3 linked regions of the Drosophila melanogaster genome follow. Changing the gene in region 2 together with the main gene of any one other region gives a genetic interaction. Each region holds a gene or a part of one and is shown on either strand. Other genes may lie near its edges. The genes, in order: Galk, Galt and Gale.

Evidence for each region.
Region 1: of Galt (region 2) and Galk, changing one suppresses a phenotype caused by changing the other (phenotypic suppression), as found in Drosophila melanogaster (one study listed by BioGRID).
Region 3: of Galt (region 2) and Gale, changing one enhances a phenotype caused by changing the other (phenotypic enhancement), as found in Drosophila melanogaster (one study listed by BioGRID).

Annotation. Positions count from the first base shown.
Region 1 is NT_037436.4:8,980,990-8,988,377, forward strand, and holds Galk (galactokinase), read right to left. Parts: upstream 5,103-7,388; 5' UTR 4,988-5,102; intron 4,828-4,987; exon of another isoform or gene 4,430-4,827; intron 4,320-4,429; exon of another isoform or gene 4,243-4,319; 5' UTR 4,237-4,242; coding exon 4,064-4,236; intron 3,998-4,063; coding exon 3,824-3,997; intron 3,679-3,823; coding exon 2,945-3,678; intron 2,748-2,944; coding exon 2,543-2,747; intron 2,485-2,542; coding exon 2,298-2,484; 3' UTR 2,115-2,297; coding exon of another isoform or gene 1,734-2,114; 3' UTR 1,223-1,733; downstream 1-1,222. Other genes in the region: CG13314 (uncharacterized protein), read left to right, coding at 1,734-2,114; CG5068 (uncharacterized protein), read left to right, coding at 5,896-5,969, 6,038-6,236, 6,296-6,405, 6,743-7,054, 7,110-7,334.
Region 2 is NT_033779.5:6,664,839-6,670,015, forward strand, and holds Galt (Galactose-1-phosphate uridylyltransferase), read right to left. Parts: upstream 3,196-5,177; 5' UTR 2,852-3,195; coding exon 2,833-2,851; intron 2,693-2,832; coding exon 2,523-2,692; intron 2,454-2,522; coding exon 2,248-2,453; intron 2,171-2,247; coding exon 1,513-2,170; 3' UTR 1,426-1,512; downstream 1-1,425. Other genes in the region: cup, read left to right, coding at 93-953, 3,504-4,049, 4,108-4,852, 4,926-5,177.
Region 3 is NT_037436.4:646,296-652,493, reverse strand, and holds Gale (UDP-galactose 4'-epimerase), read right to left. Parts: upstream 3,940-6,198; 5' UTR 3,443-3,939; intron 3,316-3,442; 5' UTR 3,315-3,315; coding exon 3,075-3,314; intron 2,262-3,074; coding exon 1,971-2,261; intron 1,911-1,970; coding exon 1,389-1,910; 3' UTR 1,183-1,388; downstream 1-1,182. Other genes in the region: CG3402 (uncharacterized protein), read left to right, coding at 1-50, 218-406. UniProt on the Drosophila melanogaster protein: Catalyzes two distinct but analogous reactions: the reversible epimerization of UDP-glucose to UDP-galactose and the reversible epimerization of UDP-N-acetylglucosamine to UDP-N-acetylgalactosamine.

The sequences.
Region 1 (7,388 bases), on a different chromosome or scaffold from region 2:
ACTCTACTGGCTCAGCATTAAATTCAGGGTCAATTGGCACTTTCAAAATCGCACAAAGCTCGGATTGAGTCGGACATGGATTCTGAGCAAACTTGTCAATCATTGTAATCGCACTACTACCTATACAGTGCACGAAATCGGGCATTAGTTGTGAAAATACATACATTTAATATGTGATTGGAAAATATACAAAATACTGTCAAAAATTTGTTATGTATACAATTTTAAATGGAATGATATTGTATTATATGAAAGTTATCCTTTTAAAAAGTTAAACATATAATATTTATTTCTGTGCTGCGATGAATAATCTTTGAATAATAATAAACCAATTGAGTTATCAATTGTTCAAACTATTGTTTTTGCGAGTATTTGTATATGGTGCACGTTGATATATATCTGTGCGACTTTTGCCATGCGTATAACGCTGCCGACTGGCAGTCCGACCTTTTTTGGGGGGCACTTTTATGGAGCATGAGAAACGGAGACAGATATCATTGCTTTTAATTGCCCAAGCTGAGCGCCTAGGCCTAGGTCAGTCTGTACCAGAATTGCAGTCCCCTCCGCTTCGCTCCACTCTACTCTACACTTCAATCCAATCCAATCCACTCCACTGCGACCATAATTAATTTAATAAAATGTAAAGCAGCAGCCTGGTCTGAAAAAAAAACTTGACTCATTCTCGGCGCTCAGAAGCGGCGCTTTGAGCGAGATTCGAAAATCGGTTGACTCACAGACTTGAGTTCAACTCGTTTTTGTGGCATTCAACGGCAAGCGAATAAAAGTTCGCCGTCTCGATATTCTATGATCAGTTTACAGTCTCAACTTCACCCAGGTGTTCCAGTTTCATTTGAAGTGCTTCTCTCGAGGATTAGCCGTTGAAATAAGTCCAGATCAAAGTGAGTGAGTGTCGTGTGTTTGTGCGAGTGGGTGCTTTTTGGAGAACCGAAATCCGATTCGGTTGTGTGGGATCGTAACCTTGACTTTGGCTGAATCAACGTATCAATTTGGACTTGGAATATGTAAATGCATTTAATGGCGCATAATAAAAATGCATGTACAGTGGCTGTGATCATTAAAAAGTAGAAAGGTTTAAAGAGTGTATAATCTAATAACGAATGTCACATTTTCAAGGATTATATCAGGGTTTCAGTTCGAAGTGAATATATCAAAGCCTAAAAAGGATGATCATGATTTAAATCAATTTCATTGCTAACGTATTCTTAATTAATACATTTGGTAAATGCATCTTCGATAATGTCATTATAACGTAAAATAAAAAATAATATTTTCACCAATCCTTATAGCAAATTACCCAATTGCAATTAAAATCTCAAAAGAGTTCTAGAGAGACCACTGTACTTATATCTCAAGCTACGATTGCTTTGTTGCGACCAAATTGGAGCACTCTACGCTTGACAAATAAAGCTCGCCATTTAGTTCGCGGCCAGTCCAATTCTTATCAATAAAAAAAAGCCAGTTCCAAGTTGCAAAAAAGTTCATGGATTAGCAACTGTAACAGTTTGAGCCAAGATCTCCGCGTTGCCCACTCCATTGGCCATATGCGATAATTGATTTTCCCGTACATAATTTATGACGCACGAAACTGACAGCCGACTTGTAGATTAAAAACTGCCACTGACCAGCGGCAATAAATCTGTCCGTATCGCTTTATTAGAACGTTGGACAATAATGCCAGCTCCTGCTCCTTTTCTCCCCTCCAGCAGCCAATCATGCCGACCGCCTGCCAAGTAACGCTGCTCGCTGGATGCCTGCTTCTGGCCATGAGTTCGGTTCGGGCCCAGTTCTTCTACCACCAGGCGCTGGGTCTGCCGGTTGCGCACGCTTACGAACCGGCCAATCCGTACCAGGGATATGCAACAGCCGATGCCCATCCCTCGGTGGTGCGAAATGCCCAGTGGGAGTCTGAGTTGCCGGCTGAGCTGTCGAAGAGTGCGCGGTTCTACAATGATCCCGTGATCGCTGCCAATCTGGCCAAGGAATCACTGCTCACGAAGAAGGAAATGGCAGTGGTACATCGTGAGGCGGAGAAAATACCGCGCGAACAGGTGTACAAGCTCTTCAAGAACGCCGGCTATCTGAGTAGCAGATAGAACTCACGATGCCAGATGAGTTCCGTTCCCCACGTGCCTTGTTGTATTTTAGCTTGTAAATTGTTAATATATTGTACATAGTACTCTACATATTAAATGTTTTTTCTATAAATGACCGTTTGATTATAGTGACTGATAGGATGATTTTGGTATAAAAGTTGGATTAAAATGCTACACAAGCGTTCACTGTATATACAACTCGGCTCCGTTTCCTGGTAGAGTGGCAAAGACCACTTCGCTAAAGTTGTTGGGCTGATGACGCTCCAGGAGATGTGTTGGCAATTGAGCATAGTAATCGCGCTTCAAAACCTTTATGTACTCATCAGCTGCTTCTATGGAATCGCACATGGCAACTATACAACCGCCCCAACTGAAAAAGAATAATGTTGATTAAATTCATAGAGTCACTAGGATATCGGTTTTCTTACCCAGCTCCAGTGACTCGGGCGCTAACGTTCTGCTGGTTCGATATGGCAATCAGGCGCTCTACATCAGGATGAGAGCATTCGTATAGCTCCCTTAAACTCTCGTGGGATTGCCGCATGAGCTCACCCAGCTGTTTTGCACCTTCCTTATTGGCTCCGCCGGCGAGTTCCTCACAAATTTTCCGGAATTTGGCCACGCGACCGGATTCTGTTAGGCGGAAACAATGTTATTAACTGATCTTGCAATTTAATATTATTTGCTAAGAGTTTAAATCTTTCGGACAACAAATGAATGTCAACGTATTATTAATTGACTGTAATTATTCATTTGGTGATCAATAAATTTAATGTACACGTAATGATTCAGATTAAATGTGAAATCCTGATTGTAAATGATTAACTTACCCTGAATAACATGCAGAGCACGTTGACGCAGCTTGAACTGCTCCATGTGCCGAGTGTTGGCGGATAGGAACTTGGTCTCCAGTTCCTGTTCGGTGACTCCCAACTCCTTGCAGATATCCGCTCGCGTGTAGTTGCTCTTCGTTAAGTTGTCCTTAATCAACTTCTCGAAAGTCTCATTATCCATTTGGCACGCCTCCTCTAGATCAATGAAGCGCACAATATCCTCCCAGTTGATCAAGCCCTTGCGCTTGGCCAGCCATCTAGTGGCCAATCGGCATTCCACCACTCGTTCATTGTAGTCCGACGAAGCAGCCTTGTTCTTTTGAGCCAGACTGTTGGCCACAACGAAGCACTTGCCCGCTGGCAAGGTCACCGGAGTGCCCTTGAGCTTGGGATGGAACTCGATGTGGTGGGCGCAGCCAACTCTGCCCAAATAGGCTATTGCCTGATCCATACCACCACTGTGCGTTCCAATGTACTGCTCACACATGGCCGAAATGGAAGCCAGCTCCCTGCGATCTAGTTTCTTGCCCTGGACGTGTGCGGTGGCCAACACAGCGGAGCTGACCATGGCACTCGAACTGGAGAGTCCTGCCGCCAAGGGCACATTACCGTCCACAGCAATGCGCATGCCAATGGGCTTCCACTGGCTGCCCAGACTCTCCTGTATTCCTTTGATGCCGCACAAGAAGTAGTTATACCAAGCGGGTCCACCACTCTTTGGAAGCTCGATTCTAAAATAGCAAAAAAATATTTGGACTTATCATTTCTAAATTCGTTTAGATACCGCCTTCAAGGTGACATTGTTATTATAACAAATTAAATGGAAAATTTTCTAGTGCTTAAGGTCGGTAATTATCATGTTTCTGATTCACCCACCTGAGCGTTTTGAGATCGGCATCGTAGCCCGTAAACTTCGCTTCCTCGAGATTTCTGAGTTGAAGCTGGCTATCACTAGGATTCTTGGCCACTGCAAGGAAAATGCTCTGGCTTACAGCCATGGGCAGCACCGAATAGCCGCAGTAGTCCACATGCTCGCCAATGATGTTGACCCTAGGAGAAGGAGGAGATATCATCGATAAGGGACTATAGATGTGCACCACGAGTGGAACTGCTCACCTTCCTGGCACTCGAACGATAAAGTCCGGATTCGCTCCGAATTGTTGTTTGAAAAATGCGGTCAATTGCTGCACGCGCCCGTAAACCTTGGATTCCGGCTGGAGCTTCTGTGGGGCCACGATTTCAATGCCGGCACCCAAATCCTGAGCAGTTCCGTTCCCGTTGGCAGTCATGTTCACCTGCAGGCGGGTGAAACTTTAATAATGCCCATTATTTTCGCAGTCGACGAACCGTAAACGTGTCGCAACTGGTTAATCTAAATTTATGGGCAAAAACAAATTTACATACGTAAACAAATAGCCGTGGCAAAGGGAAAAACAATTGCACCTGTGGTTGTGCAAAAATTAGCTTATCAACCCATCTCACCTTATCAATATGTCCAAATAGCTATTAGCACACAAAGTGATGTACTAACATTGCGGTTATCAGTTGGGGAAACGGCATCAAAGTCACTAAAACATTAGATTGACGCCAATTTGACCGCTTAATTGGGCAAAAAACAAGTACAAAAGTGCAATTTCTGCCGGTAAATGAAAAGGAAGGGTGTGCGGGAGCGAGAGGACTATAGCCAACAGCTGTTATTTAGGAGTTGCCAGGCTTGCAGAAGCATTAACCCTTGAAATGCGCAATGGATAAAGATTTTATTTTGAATATTTATCCGCGAAATTGATGTTTATGTCTAGTCCCAACTAATAGTAAATTATTTGGCAATAAAGTTCTTAGCTGGTAATTGTTTTTCAAAAGTACTACCGCTTAAACTTACTGCCGCATAATCTAAATAGACCATTAATGACAAACATGACATTTATCTTATCTCGAAACCATAAACTTAACCTGTATTGAGCTTACCTTTTGTTTACATACCAGAATAAACACAGATATAAAGGATTTTGTCAAGATTTTTACACTTTTGCCGATACATACCCAACAATGCCTTATCTTTCTCTGTTTGAGGTCAAATTAACTTGGTGCCGTCTTATCAGAGAGGAGTTCTAGTTTTCGGTGTGAGCACGTCGCGTTCCATCAAGCAACTGAGCAATCCGGCCCGTTCCGTTTCCGTTTTTGCTTAGTCCGGAATACTATGAACAATAAAGTGATACTTCCTTATCAGTAGCATTACTGAAATATAAATGCTCGGAGACCTTATAGAACACCAGTTTCCCAGCTAGCGATGTTGCACTGTGTGTATCAGTAGGAACTTGTTGAGAGCTTTGTTAGTTTATAACTAGCTGTCTTTACCGTTAAATGGGTCAAACATCTTCATAGCATATGAATTCTTTCTTGTTAGCATTCTAAAAAACTGGTTTCCAAATTTTGTCTGCTTTAAAAAGTGGTTTTGACATCCACTTTGCGAAAGGTTATTACCTTGCTTATTATTTTGCCATTAATGTGAAGTATTTACAAAGCTGATAAGGTACAAGTGTTTCGGGGAGCTCATCAATTTTTTCGTAGATAAACTTTTAAAATACTTAATTGATTAAAATGTACAAACATTAAAATATACAACTGTTGTTGTTTCAGTATGGTACGGATTTTCGTCTTTGATTGCAAAAGCCTAAAATATCCGTTTTGGAATTTGAAATGTTGACTGTTGCGGTTAGGCGTTGCCAGACAAGGGCATTGCCAAGTGCAGCTCTTGAACCAGCGCTGCCAGCTGGCGTCAGTTACGGTTTTCTCGATTACGGTCACACTGCAATACTTCTTCGTTGAATTGGAACTATTTTTTTGTTTTCGAAAACGGATAATTGCGAGCAACGACTGTGTGAATAACCACTTGCACCTGCACCGTAGGAGCACCACCTGTTGACCCCACAGCGAAGACAATCGGATCAATGTCGAGTTTACAGCGCACGATGTTGAAGGGCAAGCTGCCACCCACAATTCCTGGCGGGCGCATTGGCAGAGCGTAAGTGCAGGGTATTCTGCGACTGGAGTGGGGAGTACGCAATCTCTACCCAATTTGGCTAATTACAGGGACTCGTTCAAGAAGTCGCGCATTCGCGACTACAAGCCGGGCATGTGGAACGAATTCTTTGCGGAGAAGGAGGACGTCACGGTGGATGAGCAACGCACCTTCCGCATCTATCGCACCAAGCAACCGGAGAAGCCGGGTCCAGTTCTCCTTCTGCTCCACGGCGGTGGCTACTCTGCCCTCACCTGGGCGCACTTTTGTGTGAGTGAATGCGATATATTCTGTTAAATAGTCTTAACATGTACATATATCCATTTAAGTCTGAGGTGACCAGCATGATCCACTGCCAGTGCCTGTGCATCGATATGCGAGGTCATGGGGACAGCAAGGTGGACGACGAGGACGATCTCTCCGCTGATACGTTGGCTAAGTGAGTTGAATCCAAAAAAATATTGTTCTCAAAATATGTTTTAGAGATGGTTATGCAAATTTTTCTACTGCTTACATTAAAAACCAATATTTTTAAGATTTTGTCGAGTAAAACTTCTCGCATTAACTCTTAGCTTTATGAACGATTAGGCTAAACTTGCATAATCTCTTTATTTATAAAAATAGCGCACTGCACTTAAAGTAGGTCGATCTATTTGAACGATCACTCATTTGTAAATATTATTTAGTTTTTTATAGTTACTTTATTCACGGTTGAAGCTAAAAACCATAATAATCTAATCTATAATCTATAATAATGTTTAAAATATTCTAAACAGGGACATCGGTGACTTAATCCTGAAGCTCTATCCTGAAGAAGTGCCGCAGCTTTTTGTGGTTGGCCACTCGATGGGCGGCGCCATCGCCGTCCACTTTGCCCACATGGCTCTGGTGCCCAATTTGATTGGAATAACCGTCATCGATGTTGTGGAGGGCACAGCCATGGAGGCACTAGCCAGCATGCAGAGCTTTCTGCGCTCCCGTCCAAAGTATTTCCAGAGTATTCCGAATGCTATCGAGTGGTGCATCCGAAGCGGCCAAGTGCGCAATGTGGACAGCGCCAAAGTGTCCATGCCGGGACAGATAATAAAGTGAGTAGGATTGTCGTAAACGACAGAAAAGTAATAATAAATCAATCCCACGCAGTTGTACAACGAACAAACTGGCAACGAATGATCTGCCATTACCAGATGATGTATTGGAGGAGGCCCACCACAACAGTATGTTTCCCAATCCGTTTAGCATTTCGGAGGATGAAGAATCGTCACCGCCGGGCGATGACGCCGCCGATGGCTCCTCAGAAAGTGCCGCAGCTGGCGCGGATTTCAAGAAGCCCAACACGACCAAATCGACAACCGAAGCGGCCAAAAAGTACGTAGTCCAATTTATTTTATTTTAGTTAAAACACAAATTATTCATTGATTG
Region 2 (5,177 bases):
CATATATTCGACACTTATTTTACATCGAGTACAGACAGGCACTCTCATATATCATGAAGTTTTTTCAATGTTGTTTTTATTTTGGCAAACAGTCTTCTCGTTCCATCAAAAACAAGAATGTGGTGGCCCTGGAGATGTTACCCAGGCGCTCAAACCCAGAAACGATCGGCGATGGATCCATGTTGGCATCCACATCCACGGCTGTTATGCTGCAGACCAAAAAGCCCGCCGTTATTGTGGAGATGGAGAGGCGTTGTAAGATCATCAATTTACTGGCCAAACAGAATCAAATCCTCGAATCCATTTCGGGGGAGGCCATTCCGATGCATGGACCCTCGAAGCATCTGCACGAGGACGAGGGTCTGACCCTGCAAGTTCTCTCGGCCCGAGCATCCACACCGTACACACAGCCCTCCAGCATGTTGTCCTGCACGGCCGTTAGTTGTGACCTGGAGCACGATTCGCCGCGGAAGCAAGTGGCCAGCAAGGAGGCCGTGCCGGAGCAGCAGTCTAGTCAGGTGCAGCAAAAGCGTCCACCCAGCACAGGCATTCACAAGCCAGGAAGTCTGCGAGCACCCAAGGCTGTTCGTCCTACTACTGCTCCGGTGGTCAGCAGCAAGCCGGTCAAGAGCTATACCCGCTCCCGCCTGATGGACATTCGCAACGGGATGTTCAATGCCCTGATGCACAGGTCCAAGGAGAGCTTTGTGATGCCTCGCATCGCCACCTGCGACGACATTGAGTTGGAGGGAAGGCTTCGCCGCATGAATATTTGGCGCACCTCGGACGGCACAAGATTCCGGACCCGCTCCACCACAGCTAACTTAAACATGAACAACAACAACAACAATGAGTGCATGCCTGCCTTCTTCAAAAACAAAAATAAGCCGAACCTAATCAGTGACGAGTCCATCATCCAGAGCCAACCGCCCCAGCCGCAAACGGAGTTCCAAGTAAGCTAGTTAAACTTATACTATTCTACTCAATTTTGCCATATATTCTATATAAAATAGACTTGGTTAGCTTAATGGAAAACTTATGATTTGAAAAGGAAAAAGTGATTGTGACAGTGCGGTAATTGTTACAGTTACACATGGCGTCGATTCATTTGAGTACCTCGACCATCTGATACCCCTTCCTTTGTAGGCCAAATTGTCTTTTTGGTCTGCTCAGAAAAGCTCTTTTATGAAAAATCATATTTCCCGCCTTTTCTGCTTAGAAAAAATCGCTTAATCGATTAAGAACATTTTCCCCACTTTTGCATTAGGTAACACAAAGTCGCATTATTCCTGAGCTTATCTGATAAATCAATGATTGCATTGCATGACCTCCAGAGGTCTTTGGCAATCATGCTGATCATTGGCTGGACCCTCGCCACAGTCAAATCACTAATCTAGAACATTTTACAACTGATTGCGAATAAGTATGAAGTAATTACTACAGTCGTATTAGACTATTTCCTTTTATTGAATTCTAAACCATCTGGGATTCTACAAATACCCTCGAGCGAAATCACTTCTCTAGATAATGACACTTTCCATCGACCTCCCGCAACCTTTGGGCTGCCTGTTCGGGAGTCAGATCCCGCTGGGCCATGGCCAGCAGCTCAAATCCCACCATGAACTTGCGCACGGAGGCAGAACGAAGCAGCGGCGGATAGTAGATGGCGTGCAGGGTCCAATGAGCACTGGATGCGTGGGCATGCTCCGGCCCAGTCGGTGCTCCATGCCAACCCATCGAGTAGGGGAATGAACACTGGAACAGATTGTCATACTTGGTGGTCAGCTCCTTTATGGTCAGCGCCAAGTTGTATCGCTGTTCTGCGGTAAGATCATTGATCCGCTTATTGTTGTTGCGTGAGATGAGCATGGTTTCGAAGGGCCAAGTGGCCCAGAAGGGCACCACCACCAACCAGTCGCGATTCTCAATGACAATCCGCTCCTGGCGCTGCAGCTCACGCTCCACATAGTCGGCCAGCATGGGCCGCTCGTTGGTGGCGTAGTAGGCACGCAGACGCTCCTGCTTCAGTTGCGGTTCCGTCGGCAGAAACGAGCATGACCAGATCTGGCAGTGCGGATGGGGATTGGAACACCCCATGGCGGCTCCCTTGTTCTCGAATATCTGCACCCACGCGTACTTGGCGCTAAGCTCGTTGAACTGGCTGATCCACCTAGATAGGCAGTTAGATAAAAAGTGGGTTTATTATTTTGAGTATCTTCTGATATAAACCATAAATCCTCCACTTACTCGTCGATAACAACGACGATTTCCGCTGCACTCATCGTGGGCAAAGTCAGATTCGATTTGGGATGGAAGCACATCACTCGGCAGTTGCCACGGGCGGGAGCTATCTGGAACAGTGGATCATCGTTGTTGGGCGGAACGGGCACCACCTCCACCAGGGCCGGGAAGTCGTTCTCAAACACATAGGTGCTCTCATATTCCGGAGTTTGCTGATCATTTACAAAATATACACGTGAGAATGCTTAAAACATTTGCGAGGATTTAGTTTGGTCGCTTACGATTCCATTGGGTCTGGTGACGCCAGGGCACAGAGGATTGGTGGGATCGAATTCGGGCAGCTCGTTCTTCTGCGCCTTCTCCTGCTGACCCGACCAAGGGCGTTGGGTGCGATGTGGGCACACTAGGACCCATTGGCCGTTCAACGGATTTAGACGTCGGTGCGGGTGCTCTGCAATGACATTCGATTTTAATTAAGATTGAGCAGCGATAAACCAGACCATTGATTTGGAACTAATTGTTGATCAACATATGACCATTCGCCATAGAAACTGAATCAAATTGGCATGGTGGAACTTCTTTTAAACCTACCACTGGCCACAAACTGCATCGTGTCGAAAGACTGGCGCTCCGTATCACTCCGATCGGATTATGACTACTTCAGATTCACGGGACAAGCCCAATGTCAACCTGCCGCGTTGCGATTACAGCTCCTAATGCTGCTGATATTGGTGTTCCGATTGTGATTCTGCTTTTGCTTCTGAATCCGATTCCAGTTGAGCTGTTTTTCGCTTAGCAAAGCGCGCTTCTTCAGCTACATTCCTCTCTTTTCTCTCTTCGGATTATTCCGCTCACTCTGCCGGCGAGCGTTTAGTTTGAGTTTGGCACGCATTCCGCCTTTCAGTGGAAGAATTTTCCATCAGCCTTATCTCTCCCACTCAGCTGGGCGTTCTGATATGGGTGTGTAAACAGTGTGAGCGCGATTGTGTGTGCCGCTAGTGATGCGCGGTGGTCGATAAGACGTCCATAGAGATGGCTGTTTAATGTTTAAATAAGTATAGTTATATTTATATTTTATGCAGTATCTGTTTGCCTAATTATTGTGATTGGAACAAACTGTTTCCTAAAGTCTATTCAGCTATATTGCAATCACTGTAATCTAATTTCTTTAAAACTTATTAGCTAAGTAAGAGGTATATGATAGCCGAGAGAATTTTAAAGTTTTATGGAAAAATCTACAGATATTCGAATAATTATTTCAGGATCCGGCCATTGTTAACCAAAGACGCATTGGCAGCGGTCGCTTAAACCATTCCAAGTGGGGTTACAACGACGAAGACTACCACTCGTACCACAATGGCAAGTCGCAGCATATGGAGGAGGTCAACTCGAAGAACAGCAAAAACATGACGGTGCTGCAGTTCTTCGACAACGGCGAGATCAGCAGTCAGCCTCAAAGACGGCCGAACACTCCTGTGATGGGGATGTCTATCAATCGATCCGAGAACGACACCCTGCACTCGAACGAGTCCAGTGAAGATTTGAGTCGCGCCAACGAGAACTATGTAAAGCGCGTAATGTCTGGATTCCTGGTTGTATCGAAGCCCAAGTCACGAGATGTCGAGGATAGACATCACCGGCGGTACAGGAACCAGAACGAGGAGCCTGAGTGGTTTAGCTGTGGACCCACGTCTAGACTGGACACTATAGAGTTGTGTGGGTTCGATGAGGACGAGGAGAAAATGCTAAAGGAGGGCAACAAAAACCACGGATTAGGCGAAACAGAGCGAGAAACGTCAAAACAAAAGGTTAGTATTATGCACTTAGTTCAATCCATGACGCAATCTATAAGATAACTCGTTTCAGATGGACCATAAGTACAAATGGACGCATGCGGAGCCGATGGGTCGAAGCAAATACATGCCCAAACACGACACTAACAATAATCATAACGTGGAGAACATGAATAATGTTATGGCTACCGAGCATCAGCAACAAAAGGAAGAGAAACGCCCAGGCAGTGGCCGTTCGTTTCAGTTTGATAAGTTCAATCAAAGCCAACAGAATTACGAGAGTAGCAGTTATGTTAATCACCAACAGCCGCCGCAAACGCAGCCTCAGCAAATGCAGCAGCAGTCGAACACAAACACGAACAACTCTAAATTCATGTCATTCTTTGCCAATGAGGGGAACTCCTCGTCTTCTTCGCTGAACGAGTTTTTCAAGCAGGCCATTAACCAGGGTCATGGCAACAATCCGGAGCAGCCCAAATCGTTGGGCCACATCGGACAGATGCCTTCGGTGGATCAGCTGGAGGCCAAATGGCGTCGAAACTCACTGAACAATGTTGGCGAGACTGCCAACAAGCAGACTGATAACTTCCAGAAGCTAATTGGGTCTCTTTCTTCGGCTAAGCCACAGTCACAGGCGGTTGGCTATGATGCCATCTCCAACTTTATAATGCAGCAACAGCAGTACCAGCAGCAGCAACAGAAGCAGCACCTCATCATACAGCAGCAGCAGCAACATACCGCCTTTTTGGCGAGCCTGCAGCTGAAGGCGATCCTCGGCCGGGCCGACACCCAATTGCTACTGCTCCGTCTGACTAAAGGTGACGATTGGATGATGAAAACAAAGTTAGTTCCATGTTTTCAATATGATTCTTTGGTTTGTTTACTTCCCAGGGGAAATATCCAAGCACGGATTGCTGGTGCAGTTGGCCAACCCACGCTTGACGGACATGGATCGCGAGGCCATCACTGCTGTATTGCAGTTCACCAACACCCAGCAGCAGCAGCAGCAGCACAAGCAGCAGCTGGACATGCTCTCAAGCACGGTCATCGCCAGCCAGTTGCAGAATCTCCACAACTTGGCCATTGTCCAGCAGACTCTTGCAGCCAGGCAGCAGCCGCAGCATAATCCACAGACGCAGGCGC
Region 3 (6,198 bases), on a different chromosome or scaffold from region 2:
GCGGAATCGACCAGGACTACAAGAAAAGCCCTCAGGGATACACGGATTATGTGAGAAACTTGGGAAACACTAGAACCTAATTCCGGGCATAAAAGAGAGCTTCAATCTTAAAGCTAATAATTATAGCTCTCCTTGAAAGTCGGGGAATTTAGTTTTAGTTCGGTATCTTAAGAGCAGTTTCAATGTTACAATGTTACGTTTTCCCCTTTGAAAATAGGGCATCTATGTGACCGAGGTGCACGAGGGCAGTCCCGCCGCCCGAGCAGGTCTGCGGATCCACGACAAGATCCTGCAGTGCAACGGCTACGACTTCACCATGGTCACCCACAAAAAGGCCGTGAGCTACATCCGGAAAAACCCGATACTCAACATGCTGGTGGCCCGCAAGGGCGTGACCTCCACATAAGTGGTGCTCGGAGCAGGGTCTCCACAGACTACAGCAGTATTTAAGCGGCATTTAAACTATCCCCTCCACCGCCCCTCTGGGCTACGGATCTCTTTGCCTCCTGCAACCTATGCGAATACTTAGAACTACCATATTATACATATTAATTCATTACGTATGCATATCGCACACACATGTAGCCAGACGTAAATGTAGCACCTAGTAATGCTTCTTGTTGAATTCGATTTCTTTGCCTCTCCATCACTTGTTGAACGAATCGCCAAGCTCCTAAGTGTAAAACAGATTGCCAAATACCGATACAAACAAACACTCCCAGAAACAACAGGCTCGAATATAAACAATTTTGTACTTTTATACGTGCAGACCATTCCAAAACCAAACAGAAGCAGCAGCCGAACGCAGAGTTGTTGAAAGAAACATACATTCATAGTACATACTTGTGATAAATGACTTTAACTGTGCAGATATGTGCGAAGAAGGCGCATCACTTAAGTTTAAAATTGAGTTTTTAATGTTATATTGCATTTGAATAAATGTTTGCTAAATAAATGTGCGAGTTAGACGTCTTCTTGTAACTTTGGTCAGCTTAATGTGATTATGCCATTTTTGATTAAGATCTGACAAATGGTTGATGCAGTTGTGTGTTTATTTTACCTAATGCCAAGTGTAATCTCCCAGTGCCACCTTGTCGGTGACCTTAATTACGTGATTGCGCCAATTGGCACGCGTCAATGATGCCAGCGGTCACCAAACGCGTAAATGACGGTCACAAAATTACATGACAACAGCGAAAAGCCTTTTTAATTACAAAGTACTTTGGATTACATACGCACACTTGCACACATCGAAGTGAGCGAATACTACACGAAATTTGGAAAGAAATATACACAACTAGAGGCAAATAGAAATTGCTACCTGAGCCATTATCAGGCGTAGTAACTCAGGAACTTGCGGAGCGGCAGGAACGTGGCGATATACAGCTCTACTTGTTGGCATACCCGTTTGGGTTCTGGCTCTGCCAGCGCCACGTGTCCTCGCACATCTTGTCGATGCCACGCTCGGCCTTCCAGCCCAGCTTCTTATCCGCCAACGTGGCGTCCGCATAGCAAGTGGCCACATCTCCGGACCGTCGGTCCACCAGAGTGTAGTTGACCTTCTTGCCGGAGGCCTTCTCAAACGCCTTCACCATGTCCAGCACCGAGTAGCCCACGCCGGTGCCCAAATTGTAGGCGAAAAAGCCCGTCTCCGCGATGTTGCGCAGCTTGTCCAACGCCTTTACGTGTCCCTCGGCCAGGTCCACGATGTGGATGTAATCGCGCACGCCGGTGCCGTCGTGCGTGGGAAAGTCGCTGCCGTAGACACTCAGGCTGGGACGTCGACCCACGGCCACCTGTGCGATGTAGGGCATCAGGTTGTTGGGCTCGCCGTTCGGATCCTCGCCAATCCGACCACTGATGTGGGCACCCACCGGGTTGAAGTACCGCAGCGAAACCACTGCCCAACGCTGAAAGAGCGAATTCTTTAGTACAGAACTTATGGACATCAAGAAATGACATCCTCCTACCTTGTCAGACTTGCACAGATCCTTGAGAATCTCCTCGGTGAAATATTTAGTCTTGCCGTAGGGCGATGTACAGTTGCCCGTGGGATGCTCCTCGGTCACGGGCAGGAACTTTGGCTCACCGTATACGGTGGCGCTGGAGCTGTACACGAACTTGAAGACATTGTTGTCGGCCATCGCCTCCAGCAGGACATTGGTGCCGGTCATGTTGTTGTGGTAGTACTGCAAAGGTATGCGGCAGGACTCACCCACGGCCTTCAGGGCGGCAAAGTGGGCCACCATGTCGATTTTGTGCTGAAAGGGATGTAAATATATGTACCTATTAGTTTGGGAAATCCAAATCTGTAATAACCAGCTCTTCAGTAAGCACAAGGATATTGCCTCTTATAAACGTAAAGTGCAGAATTTAATAGCAATTAAATGAAAGTATCACATTGATTTCAAGGTGATTTATTGACAAACAATTATGTGTTCTTTAAATAGCTGTTGATAGTGCTGATTAGGTAAAAAATTCCACCACAACAAATACTGCTCAATCTATTCAGTAATCAGTGCGCGTAAGCACAAAGCTGTGTGCATTTATGGTTGAATAAAAATATGAAAAAGTATCAGCTTAAGATATTTCATGGCTATTTGGGCAACAACGTGCATTTTTATAATGTTCATTACATGTAAATAAACGCTTTGTTTTTTATAAACGACGGTGGTTAACAAAAAAAACCCCTTTGATCGAACATCTCAAGAATGCGTGATAACCTGCTCGAATTAGCGAATTCTCTTGGTTATCAATGGATGTAAACACTGCAATCTGGGCTCCCGACCACCCAGATTGTAGTGTACGTGCCCGGGAGCTGTTGTGGATGTGGATGCCAGCGCACCAACTCGAATGCGACCTCGCCAAGTGGGTCTTTCATTCAGGGTCGATCAGCACGGCGGTTCGTCGGAAGTGCCCCGCCACTTGAGCAAACAACAAAACAAGCGCGAACGAGAAAAAAGCTGATAGCGCGCATGCCAGATAAGCTTGATTGAATGGTATCCAGTTGGCACATTTGCCCCAGAACCTCCGAACTGCTGACGTGCCAGCTATGTAATGCTACGTGTGCTCACCTCCTGGAAGACGGAGCGCACCTGCTCCCTGTCCGTGATGTCCACTCTATAGAAGTTGACCTTCTTGCCGGTGATTTCCTGCACCCGGCTGAGGGCCTCCGGCAGTTTGGCCCCGCTGCTGTAGGCGTTGCACAGGTTGTCCACGCAGATGACGTTGTAGCCCGCATTGAGCATCTCCAGAACCGTGTGGGAGCCAATGTAGCCGGCTCCTCCGGTGACCAGGACCGTGGGTGGGGCCATCCTAAGTGGCGAAAGGGGAAAACACACGAAATTAGGCCACACGAGTGCCCAGTTCTTATTGACGTCACCAAAATCGTTCGGCAGGCGTGCGAAATAGCCGTCTGCTTGGCGAAAAACGGGTAACTCACCTGTTTACAGGTGATTATGGTAGAGAATCCCCGCTCAGTGAATCAGATTGAGTTTAGCTAGACGCAAGAGACGTGCCCTTGAAACGATTCCGCCTCGGATTCCGATGCCTAAAAACAACGCCTCTGATCTCCGACGAGATTGCAGATGATGGTGTAGATGAAGATGCCAAAGATCGCTGACCGTTGAGTGCTATCGTGTGCTAACCCGTTTCTTGCACTCTTCCTCATTCATCTGTGTTGTCGTACGTCTGTTTTGATCTGCGGTCGCTGGCCAACTGAACTGGTGGCTCTCCACGGAGCCTATTTAACTTGTTCTCCGTTCTCCGAACGCGCACTTCTTATCAGTTTCGGTGGTTTGGTGGGCTCGGAGCTCTCCTGTCACTTTAATTCAAGTGCTAGCAGCAGGCTGACTTGGTCGACGGACGGCCGGGGTCACCTCGAAGTGCATCCTTATCGCCGCTGACCTTTGGCTCCCGATTCCATGCCCATTAATGCAATTTCCAGGTGCTCTTCACTTCGCTCTCCGAATAAAAGTAAACAAAGTGGTAGCGTTGCCACGCGACATGGCTCGTTCGACGCTGCCATATTCGCCGATTTTTCAGCTACCTGGCACAGTGGGATTCGTCTCGATAAATTTCTTGGCTGTCTATCGATATGAACAACTTAAAACAAGAAGTGCGCCCATATCGGTGTTTAAATGTGAAAACATTCTGGAGACGCGAATAGGGGTGGTAAAAAAATAGTTTTCATTATAAAGCGTATAAAATCACAAATCGTAATTAATTAAACATATGATAAGAGAATAACGCCAAATTCATAATGCAATGTAATTTTGTAACGCATTCTATCCCCAAGATAATAATCTTATATGATCTGGCATCACTGCCATGTGCTTCTGTAAAATTTACATGTAGATAAGTTGACATTTTACTTGACTGATAAACGGAGCAGATTCAAAATTAATTTTAAACTCGAAAAGCAAACGTTTGATAACAACAAACTTCAGTACAATGCGTACAACTACATCGTCATAAATAACTAGAACCGCAGTTCGGACAGCTTTTTGGTGACCCAAATTCGGTTCAAATCTTTAATGATAAGCGGAAGTGCATGTGCTCAATACGCAATGAAAAAGATCTCACAATGTTTACAACTTAATTGAGAATGTATTTGCGCAGCGACGAGTCTCTCAATGAAATGCGCCTGCTTTCGGTTCTGAATGAATGGAATGCATGAATGGGTCGAAAGCTTCGGAGCTTTAACCTAGATTGGCATTTGACCGGCTTTATCTTATGGTTTTTGGAGTGTCGATAATCGTTATTTGTTTGAATAGTTCTATCTCAGTCAATAAATCGTTTTTCTGATTATGGTTTCCGAATTCCATTTCAATTTATCGCTAAAAAAAATTGCGGCATAAGAGTCCCAAAATTAGAACAAACCGTAAAATACTGCTTCGGCATAATAATCTACATAATCATCTGGAAACGAATCGATTCTCGAATGCGGGAAAGCTCACTCGATAAGGAAGACGCAGTACATACATATACCGCAAGACCATGCTTACCGCACACCGCATGTACTACATACATACGTACATCTACATATATTTTGAGATTCTCGGGCGGCACACATATGTACATACTGACAACCGGAAATGAGTTAGTTGAACTTCCGGCATTGCTCGCCTCTGAATGGCGCTGGCCTGCAATATTTTTTTATGTGAGCGACAATAATTTGCACAGTCAGAGTCGCAGCCACAGAAACTGAACTGAAACAGAATTGGAAAGAGAAAGACAGAACGGACAAGTCTCCAAGTGGAAGTGGTCGATCCTAAAGCTACGTATTTGTACATAATGTGCTGCGGTCTAGTCTACATACATAAATATATATATATATATATGTATAGAAGCGAGCTCCCAATCCAATCCCGCCTGCACATATGGGGGAATTATCAGTTCGGTCCGAGAGTTGGATTGCTGTTATTGCTGGGGCTAAGGTTTTCGGGGGGTCTGGCCCGGCCCGTTAGCTATGTCCGTCTTCTTGTTTACTTACTGTACTTATATGTTTATTAGTATGTGATCTTTTATTTCAAACACTTTCCACTCCACGAATAGAATGCCAAACGAATAGAATTTCCTTGCTTACACTTATTGTAAATTTCGGTTATCCATCTTAATAAAACCAATTTTCCGCATTATTGTTTGTGCCCGATAATCATCTATGTATGTTCTGCGTTCCCTCAAAAGAGACCACCCCAGATAAGCACCGACTCTGGCACTTTAATTTGATCTCGGATCGGCAATGGGAAAATGAAGTAGGGAAATAGTGAAAGTGGTGCACTTTTCACATGGCCCAACGGAGACCGACTTGGAAACTGGGATCGCCCGGGCCACCATAAATGCTTATCACAAATTAAGCAATTTATACATATTTCGTGACGTTTTCTGGCAGAACCCGCATGGCCCGTCTAAAAGTTTTCAATTCCTAAATTGAAGATATGGAAAATTAAATTCAAAACGCACTTTTCTATGCGCGATCCGAAGTCGAGACTACATACATAAATTTATTACATTTATTAAATTTGTTACTTTGACTCAAAAAATTCGAAAAAATTGGACCACTCTTCTGAACTTTTCTGCCCACCTTTACTTAAGCTTATGACCTTAAGGATATTGTATTGTAACCTCATTACAAATTAAACTATATTAGAACACATAACATGAGAACCACCAATGCCACCAATATTGTATTGTTGA